Linked DNA regions of Macaca fascicularis. The protein of the gene in region 2 purifies or fractionates together with the protein of the main gene of each other region. This does not show direct contact. Links are inferred from orthologs where the notes say so. Each region holds a gene or a part of one and is shown on either strand. Other genes may lie near its edges.

Region 1 (3,582 bases), on a different chromosome or scaffold from region 2:
TGTGAAAGCCTGTGAACATCCCTGGATATGTGTACTATCATTTAAAAACTGCCTCAGAGGGCACGAAATGTTGTCGGGGAAGATCTATTCAGAGCTGGGTGTGAGCTCTAGCCCTCTCCCTGACTATCGGTTTGCTCTGGGGTATGAGGTTGAGTGTGAGGCGCCCACTGGGCCCTGGCATCAGGGCTGACTTGCTTCTCTCAGGCTCTGTGTTCATGGGCTACCTCTTCCAAAGACTGCACAGCTCCAGGCCCGGCTTCAGAGCAGAGGTGATGTGGTATTATCAGGCTCTGATGGAAAGTGTGCTCTCTCGGTATCTACTTGCAGGGAAGCTTCTGAAATTGGTGAGGGAGCACCTGTTGCAAGGCTCAGTGAACAAATGGTTTTGGTATTTCCCTTTTTCATGGGGCACCAGAAGGGTATTTTCTCCTACACAGGATCGCATCTGAAGACTGTTGAAACTGTGTTTTCCCGAAGTGAGATGGAAGATCTCAGATAGGAAAGAGACAGTGAGAGAGAGAGACAGACACTGAGCCAGGTTCCCACGCAGTTTATTGAGGGAGCCAAAGCCAGTGAGAGGACAAAGGAGTCCTACTTCAACCTACTTCCTTAAAGCTGTGTGCCTCGAGCATGAAGGGACCTTCTCAGAGGGCAGGACCTGCCCTATGAGGGGCCACACAGAGCCCTGTGGAGACTCCTACCTCTCATACCACAGCCCGTCCTACCCCAAAGACCCAGACATGAGAGCAGACATAATCCCCACCCCAGGAGGGTGCTGAGGAAACACCCTTACCCATGCCCCTCCCCTAGAGACCTCAGGAAGAAAGGCCAGGACACCTGTACTGTGTTTGGCCAGTCGAATCCTCAACGTGAAGACCTGGGCAACAGGCCTGGCTGACAGGTCTGTTCAGATGTGGCCTCAGACATCTACTCTAGAATCCAACCCCTAACACTCAAACATGATTAAAAACACCCAGGACACTTCTCTTGCTGGCAGAGGCCACACCCCAGATAATGGCAGTCCTGCCAAACTCTGGCCAGAGATAGGGACCCAGGCTGACTGGGTGTGAGCATGTAAGAAGACCACTCTGCCCCATGGGGAGGATCTTCCAGGGCTCAGCTGAGGCTCAGAGCCCGGGCTTCTGTTTCTCCCCATCCAATGCCAGTGATTCCTCCAAACATTCCCCACAAGGGAGAAAGGGAGGAGGAGGCAGAGAGCTTATCAAGAGGTTCACCCTGTATGGGGCTGGAGGTCGGATCTACTGGGGTGAGGAAAAGGCTGTAGAGGAGTGGGGCACTGGGGCAGGGGCGCTGGCACATTCCTCGGATTCTGGCATGTCATCCTGGAAGTACTCAGCCTGGCGGTACTGCCACAGACGCAGGTTCCCGTCCCACTGCAGGGCAGAGGGTGGCAAGTAGTCAGGAGGTGCTGCCCCCACCCCAAGTCCAAGCCCCAGACATGTGCCAGCACCCCCAACCCTTGCAACCTCACCGAACTGCTGACAATCTTCTCTTCAAAGGGGTGCCAACTGACATCACGCACACAGGCCTTGTGGTTCGTCAGCTTCTTCACAATGTGGCCACTGAGAAGGTCGTACACTGTCCAGGACAGGCAAGAGTGGAGAGGGACCACCACAAGACCTCTAAACTATCCCTCACCTCCCTGTGAGTAGCACCACTGACCTCTCAGGCAACTTCCCATGTTCCCATGGGAGCAAAGCCCACACGAGCAGACTGTGTTATTTCTGCTTCTATCCCTGTTCCTTTCCCTACCTTGGGTTGAGGGTGTGGTTTGTGTGGGTGTGGGTATTTCTGGCCCTTAGCTAAATTTCATAGGGGCTACAGTTAAGAAAATGCAGTGGCTTTAAAGATTTTAGTAAGATATGGAAGGCACCACAAAAGTGAACACCAAGCTGTCTGGGGGAGTGTGCACCTGCTGCACCTTGTCTGGACAGGGTGCATCTTTCTTTTGTTATGGGTCTGTGAGTGTCTCTCTGGGGATAGCACTGCCTTAGACTCCTTATATCTGCAGCTGTGCTTGTGGTTTTTTTCTTTCCTTTTCTTTTTCTTTTTTTTTTTTTTTTTTGAGACGGAGTCTCGCTCTTATTGCCCAGGCTGGAGTGCAGTGGCACGATCTCGGCTCACTGCAACCTCTGCCTCCCAGGTAGCTTGTGATTACTGGTGCCTGCCATCACCCCTGGCTAATTTTTGTATTTTTAATAGAGACGGGGCTTCACCATGTTGGCCAGGCTGGTCTCAAACCCCTAAGCTCAGGTGATCGCCTGCCTCAGCCTCCCAAAGTGCTGGGATTACAGGTGTGAGTCACTGTGCCCAACCTTTTTTTTTTTTGAGACAGTTTCTCACTCTGTCACCCAGGCTGAAGTGCGGTGGCACAATCATGGCTCACTGCAGGCTTGACCTCCTGGGCTCAGGTGATTCTCCCACCCTAGCTTCCCAAGTAGCTAGGACTACAGGCCTGTGCCACCACGTCCAGCCATTTTTTGTAGAGAAGAGGTTTCTCCATGTTGCCCTGGCTGGTCTCAAACTTCTAGGCTCAAGCGATCTGCCCTCATTGGCTTCCCAAAGCACTGGGATTATAGGCATGAGCCACTGCGCCCAGCTTATTTCTTTCTGTGCTTTTCTGCTTCAGCGATTGCATGTCCCTTTACTACTTGCTACCATCTTCCTGTGTCATTTTGTCTCTGTTCCCTCCTACCTTTCATCTGCAACCTCTTTCCTTGACTGGCTGAAAAACAGAACCAACTATATTTTTGGCAATCTATTATATTTACTGTCTAGAATTCTATGTTCCTTTTCTTAATTTAAAACACTGAAAAATAGAATGGTTTCTATTTCTCTGTTTAAGCCTCCAAGCTAAGTTAGATTTTACCTGTAGCCGTCACTGGGCTTTTTTAAGGTGGTCACTGGTCGTTATAGGTGGAACGGCAAGGAGTCATTCCTGCCCTTCCTGAGGCCCCCTGTTCTGACACAGTCCTTACCAACCACTTTGCCGGTGGAGCAGCCACTATAGATGAACTGCTGGCCGGTGCTATGAATGGGGGAGAACCGGCAGCGGATAAGGGTGTGCAGCACTCCGTGGCCCCGGTAGGTCATCAAGGAGCTGTCCCCTGGGAGCTTCAGCTTCCGCCAGGCTGGGTAGGGATGCAGAGTAAGCCCTAGGTTAGGGAATCTGCTTTGGGATTGTTTCGTACCAGCAGTCCTGAGCAAGGATCGATGCCCAGAGACAAATGCCTTTCCAACCTTCAAGTGGTGGCTCTTTCTCCACCTAATAGTCAGTGGACAGTCTCCAATATGGCCCTGCTGGTTAATCATTATACTCAAATACTTCGGTATTGTGGATTCTGAGTGACCCCCACCCAGGCCCCAATCCTAGGAACCTCTGGCCATTCCATTTGTGATTTAGCAAATAAAGAGTTAATGCCTGGTAAAGAGGGCTGAGGGGGAGATCCTCCAGGGCTCCAAGGCTACAGACAAATCCACTGTGCCTGTACCTCCATTCTCACCTTTTTTGGGCACTTGCTGCCAGCGATAGTCCCAGTTTTGCTGTGTGGCAGCCTGGCG
Region 2 (3,751 bases):
TTGTTTTCTCATTCTTTCATCTTACATGTTTTTCCCTTCTCTCTTTAAAAATAAGCTTGGACCCCATCTCTACTAAAAATACAAAAATTAACCGGAGATGGTGGCGCACGCCTATAATTCCAGCTACTCGGGAGGCCAAAGCAGGAGAATCATTTGAGCCCAAGAGGCAGAGGTTCAGTGGGCCAAGACTGTGCCATTGTACTCCAGCCTGGGTGGCAAGAGCGAAATCCTGGCTCAAAAAAAAAATAAAAAAGAAAAGATAAGCTTGGGCGGGGAGGGGTGGATGCAAAAAAAAAAATAAGTTTGGACTCATTAATTCCTTGGTTCCTTCAAAGTTTTAATATTTTATTATGCCTTTGATTCCTTCTCACTTTTGTTTCACCTTTTCCATTCATTTCTTCTTCTCCTCTTCCTCCTTTCCCTTTCCTTTCTGTGTTTCTGCTTATTTTCTATTACAAACCAAAATATGTGGACCATAAACTGCATCTGCAGTTCCTTTAGCCCTAACAGACTACGAGTTCTATTTCTCTTTATCTTTCTCTTTTTCACTTTCTTGTCTTTCCATTACTTATAAGTTTCTTAATTTTCCTGAGTCTCAGTTTTTCCATCTGGAAAGTGGAGATAACAATTACTAGATTGTTGTATCAGATGAATTAAGTAATGCTCGTAGCTTAACACAAAGGCCAAGATGTCATTAACTTTACCCTCACTTGACCTTCTGCAAGCCTGCTGTGAAATATAAAACACTATATAAATGTTAGTTGTTTTTGTTTTTATTAAAGTATGTTGAAGTAGAAAGATGGTTTTGAGTTTGAAAAGCTCCAGATAAATCCTTGGATTTTTATGAGTCTCAATTTCCTTTTCTGTAAAATGAGTAACATAGGGGTTTTTCCGCCCCAAGAAACTAAGAGTCCATGTACTGAAAGCATCATTCTACAAGTATTAATACATATATAGTAATCATGGTAGAGGGTGTCCTGAAGTCACACTGGGAATATTTGTGAGGATTCAACGGAATAAAATTTTAAAAGATGTCTGACCAATAGTAAGCACTCAATACATGTTAGCAATTATTATCTTTTACTCTTCTCACTTCTTTTCTCCTGCTCTTCAAAAAAGTGAGTGGTTGAACGACCTAGGTGATCTCTGCTGCTAAACTTCTATTATTGATTATTGTTTACTTCCTCTCTGCCCCTTACTCCCCCATCCCGTTTTTTTCCCGCTTCTTCACTCATTCCATTACAGCTTTTCTCTTGCCTCAGGCACCCAGGGCAGTCCTGATCTCCAGCTCTCCAGCGGCTTAGAACAAACACAGAGTCGGCCGAGACCAGGGGACCCGCCAAAGACGTCTGTGTTTAGTGGCTAGCGATCTTCCACTAATAAAGTTTTATTGAAATACAGTATTTAAAAAGGCGCCCGTCATTCTTCCCCCGGCGACCAATCGGAGAGTAGAATGCTTGCGTCCCTCACTGGAGCTTCAGCGGTTGGAACGCGGGGGCGGGGCATGTCCTGCCGAAATTTGCGTCCTTAGAGCGGAAGTACGGCCGGAAGCCCGCCATAGAGTTTAGTGGCCAGAGCGACTCTTCAGGGAGGTGGCAGGAAAGGCTTGGAACAGCTGCCGGAGGTGACGGAGCGGCGGCCCCGCCCGGTGCGCTGGAGGGCGAAGCTTCCAGGTAGCGGCCCGCAGAGCCTGACCCAGGGTACGACGAAGCAGTCGGCGGGAGCCCACGGTCGCTGGGCGGTGTCTTTAAGGGAGGGGGCGGAGCCACGTGTAAGCTTCATTGGGGTGAGGTCACGTGGTTGTGGGCGCGTGCGGGGCAGGAGTGGAGAACTGAGGGAGCGTCGTCGTTAGTGTGGATACCATGCGACACCCCTTTCTCCGTTGCATCCTGTCTTGGGGTTCAGTGGCGGTGCACATGATGGGGCTTGGGGTTAGGCTCGGGGGAGGGGGTGGGTGTGGCAGCCTTGTGAAGTGGCTGACTTTAGGATTTGTAGATCAGAATTCTAGACCGCTCCATGTGTGATTCCTCACCGCAGAACCGACTTAGTACCTATAACAATCCAGTCCTTCAGCCTTGTGCTTCCCATCCTACCAGCCATCGGGGATCTCTAGCTTCACATTCTCTTTCCTTGCAGCTCTGGACATCCTGAGCCCAGGTGCCCCCAGCTCAGTGCAGTCATGAGTGCGGAAGTGAAGGTGACAGGGCAGAACCAGGAGCAATTTCTGCTCCTAGCCAAGTCGGCCAAGGGGGCAGCGCTGGCCACACTCATCCATCAGGTGCTGGAGGCCCCTGGTGTCTACGTGTTTGGAGAACTGCTGGACATGCCCAATGTTAGAGAGGTGGGTTGCTGGCTTGAATAGTCCACAGAGAAGCATGGGCAAAGGTTTGAATTTGAGAATGGGTGGGCAGGGCTCAATTTGTGATCCCATACCATTCAGTTGAACAAGAAAACAGTGATGATTAAATGCCAACTTGCAAAAGTAACCAGTAAACAAGCAAACCAGCTTTCCTTTGGAGATAAAGGATCTGTAAAGTCCACTGTTTTTCATTTTAAGCAAAAGAGCATGTTATTCAGAATAGGAAATCTGATTTCCAGCCCGTCTCCACCAGCGTAATAGCTGTTAATTCTCATGTCACCTTGATCAGGTCACTTTTGTTTTAGGGCCTGAGCTCTCTTTTTTAAAAATGGAGACAATACTGCCCCCTCTGTTGTGGGAATAAAGTGAGATTATGGGAAAGTGTAAAGTCTGGTACAAGTGGGTAGTGAACATGTTAAATTAGCATGCCCTATTCTTCCCTATGTGCAGCATATGCTAATCTGTTCAAGGTAGCTAAGGGAGAATGTGTCTTTTTCCCAAAGACACATGGCAAACACTAGGAACACAGCAGAGAGAACCATTCACACAAAAGTGGCAGAGTTAATTTACAGAGGAGGCAGCCTGAGTCCTGACATGCTGACAGTGATATGTGGGTAAACTGAGCTAAGTTATGTGGGGCCTGTGGTTTAACCTTTTGGATCACTCTGTGATATGGTGAAAACTGGCTGACTTTTCCCTGCTTTCATCTGCAGTGGAACTAAAGAGTATCCATCAAGGTGATGAAAAAGAAGCACTTGGCCTGGTGCAGTGGCTCACGCCTGTAATCCCAGCACTTTGGAAGGCCAAGGCAGGTGGATCACCTGAGGTCAGGAGGTGAAACCAATATGGCAGAACCCTGTCTCTATTAAAAATACAAACAGGGCTGGGCGCAGTGGCTCACGCCTGTAATCCCAGCACTTTGGGAGGCTGAGGCAGGCGGATCACAAGGTCAGGAGATCGAGACCATCCTGACGGTCTAACACGGTGAAACCCCATCTCTACTAAAAATACAAAAAATTAGCTGAGGCCGGGCGCAGTGGCTCAAGCCTGTAATCCCAGCACTTTGGGAGGCCGAGAGGGGCGGGTCACGAGGTCAGGAGATCGAGACCATCCTGGCTAACACGGTGAAACCCCGTCTCTACTAAAAAATACAAAAAACTAGCCGGGCGAGGTGGCCGGCGCCTGTAGTCCCAGCTACTCGGGAGGCTGAGGCAGGAGAATGGCGTAAACCCGGGAGGCGGAGCTTGCAGTGAGCTGAGATCCGGCCACTGCACTCCAGCCTGGGCGACAGAGCGAGACTCCGTCTCAAAAAAAAAAAAAAAAAAGGCCGGGCGCGGTGGCTCAAACCTGTAATCCCAGCACTTTGGGAGGCCAAGACGGGCGGATCACGAG

The links. Proteins that work in one complex are often made in the same cells at the same time.
Region 1: the proteins of COPS7A (region 2) and DCAF11 purify together in Homo sapiens (affinity purification with mass spectrometry; 3 studies listed by BioGRID and IntAct, counting the BioPlex papers as one, with this or other methods). This does not show direct contact. The link is inferred for Macaca fascicularis from reciprocal best matches to the Homo sapiens genes COPS7A and DCAF11.

The regions. Positions count from the first base shown.
Region 1 is NC_088381.1:91,936,369-91,939,950, reverse strand, and holds the end of DCAF11 (DDB1- and CUL4-associated factor 11), read right to left. Parts: coding exon 3,525-3,582; intron 3,153-3,524; coding exon 3,000-3,152; intron 1,600-2,999; coding exon 1,493-1,599; intron 1,395-1,492; coding exon 1,260-1,394; 3' UTR 536-1,259; downstream 1-535. UniProt on the Homo sapiens protein: May function as a substrate receptor for CUL4-DDB1 E3 ubiquitin-protein ligase complex.
Region 2 is NC_088385.1:7,643,647-7,647,397, forward strand, and holds the start of COPS7A (COP9 signalosome complex subunit 7a), read left to right. Parts: upstream 1-1,566; 5' UTR 1,567-1,673; exon of another isoform or gene 1,674-1,771; intron 1,772-2,136; 5' UTR 2,137-2,179; coding exon 2,180-2,341; intron 2,342-3,751.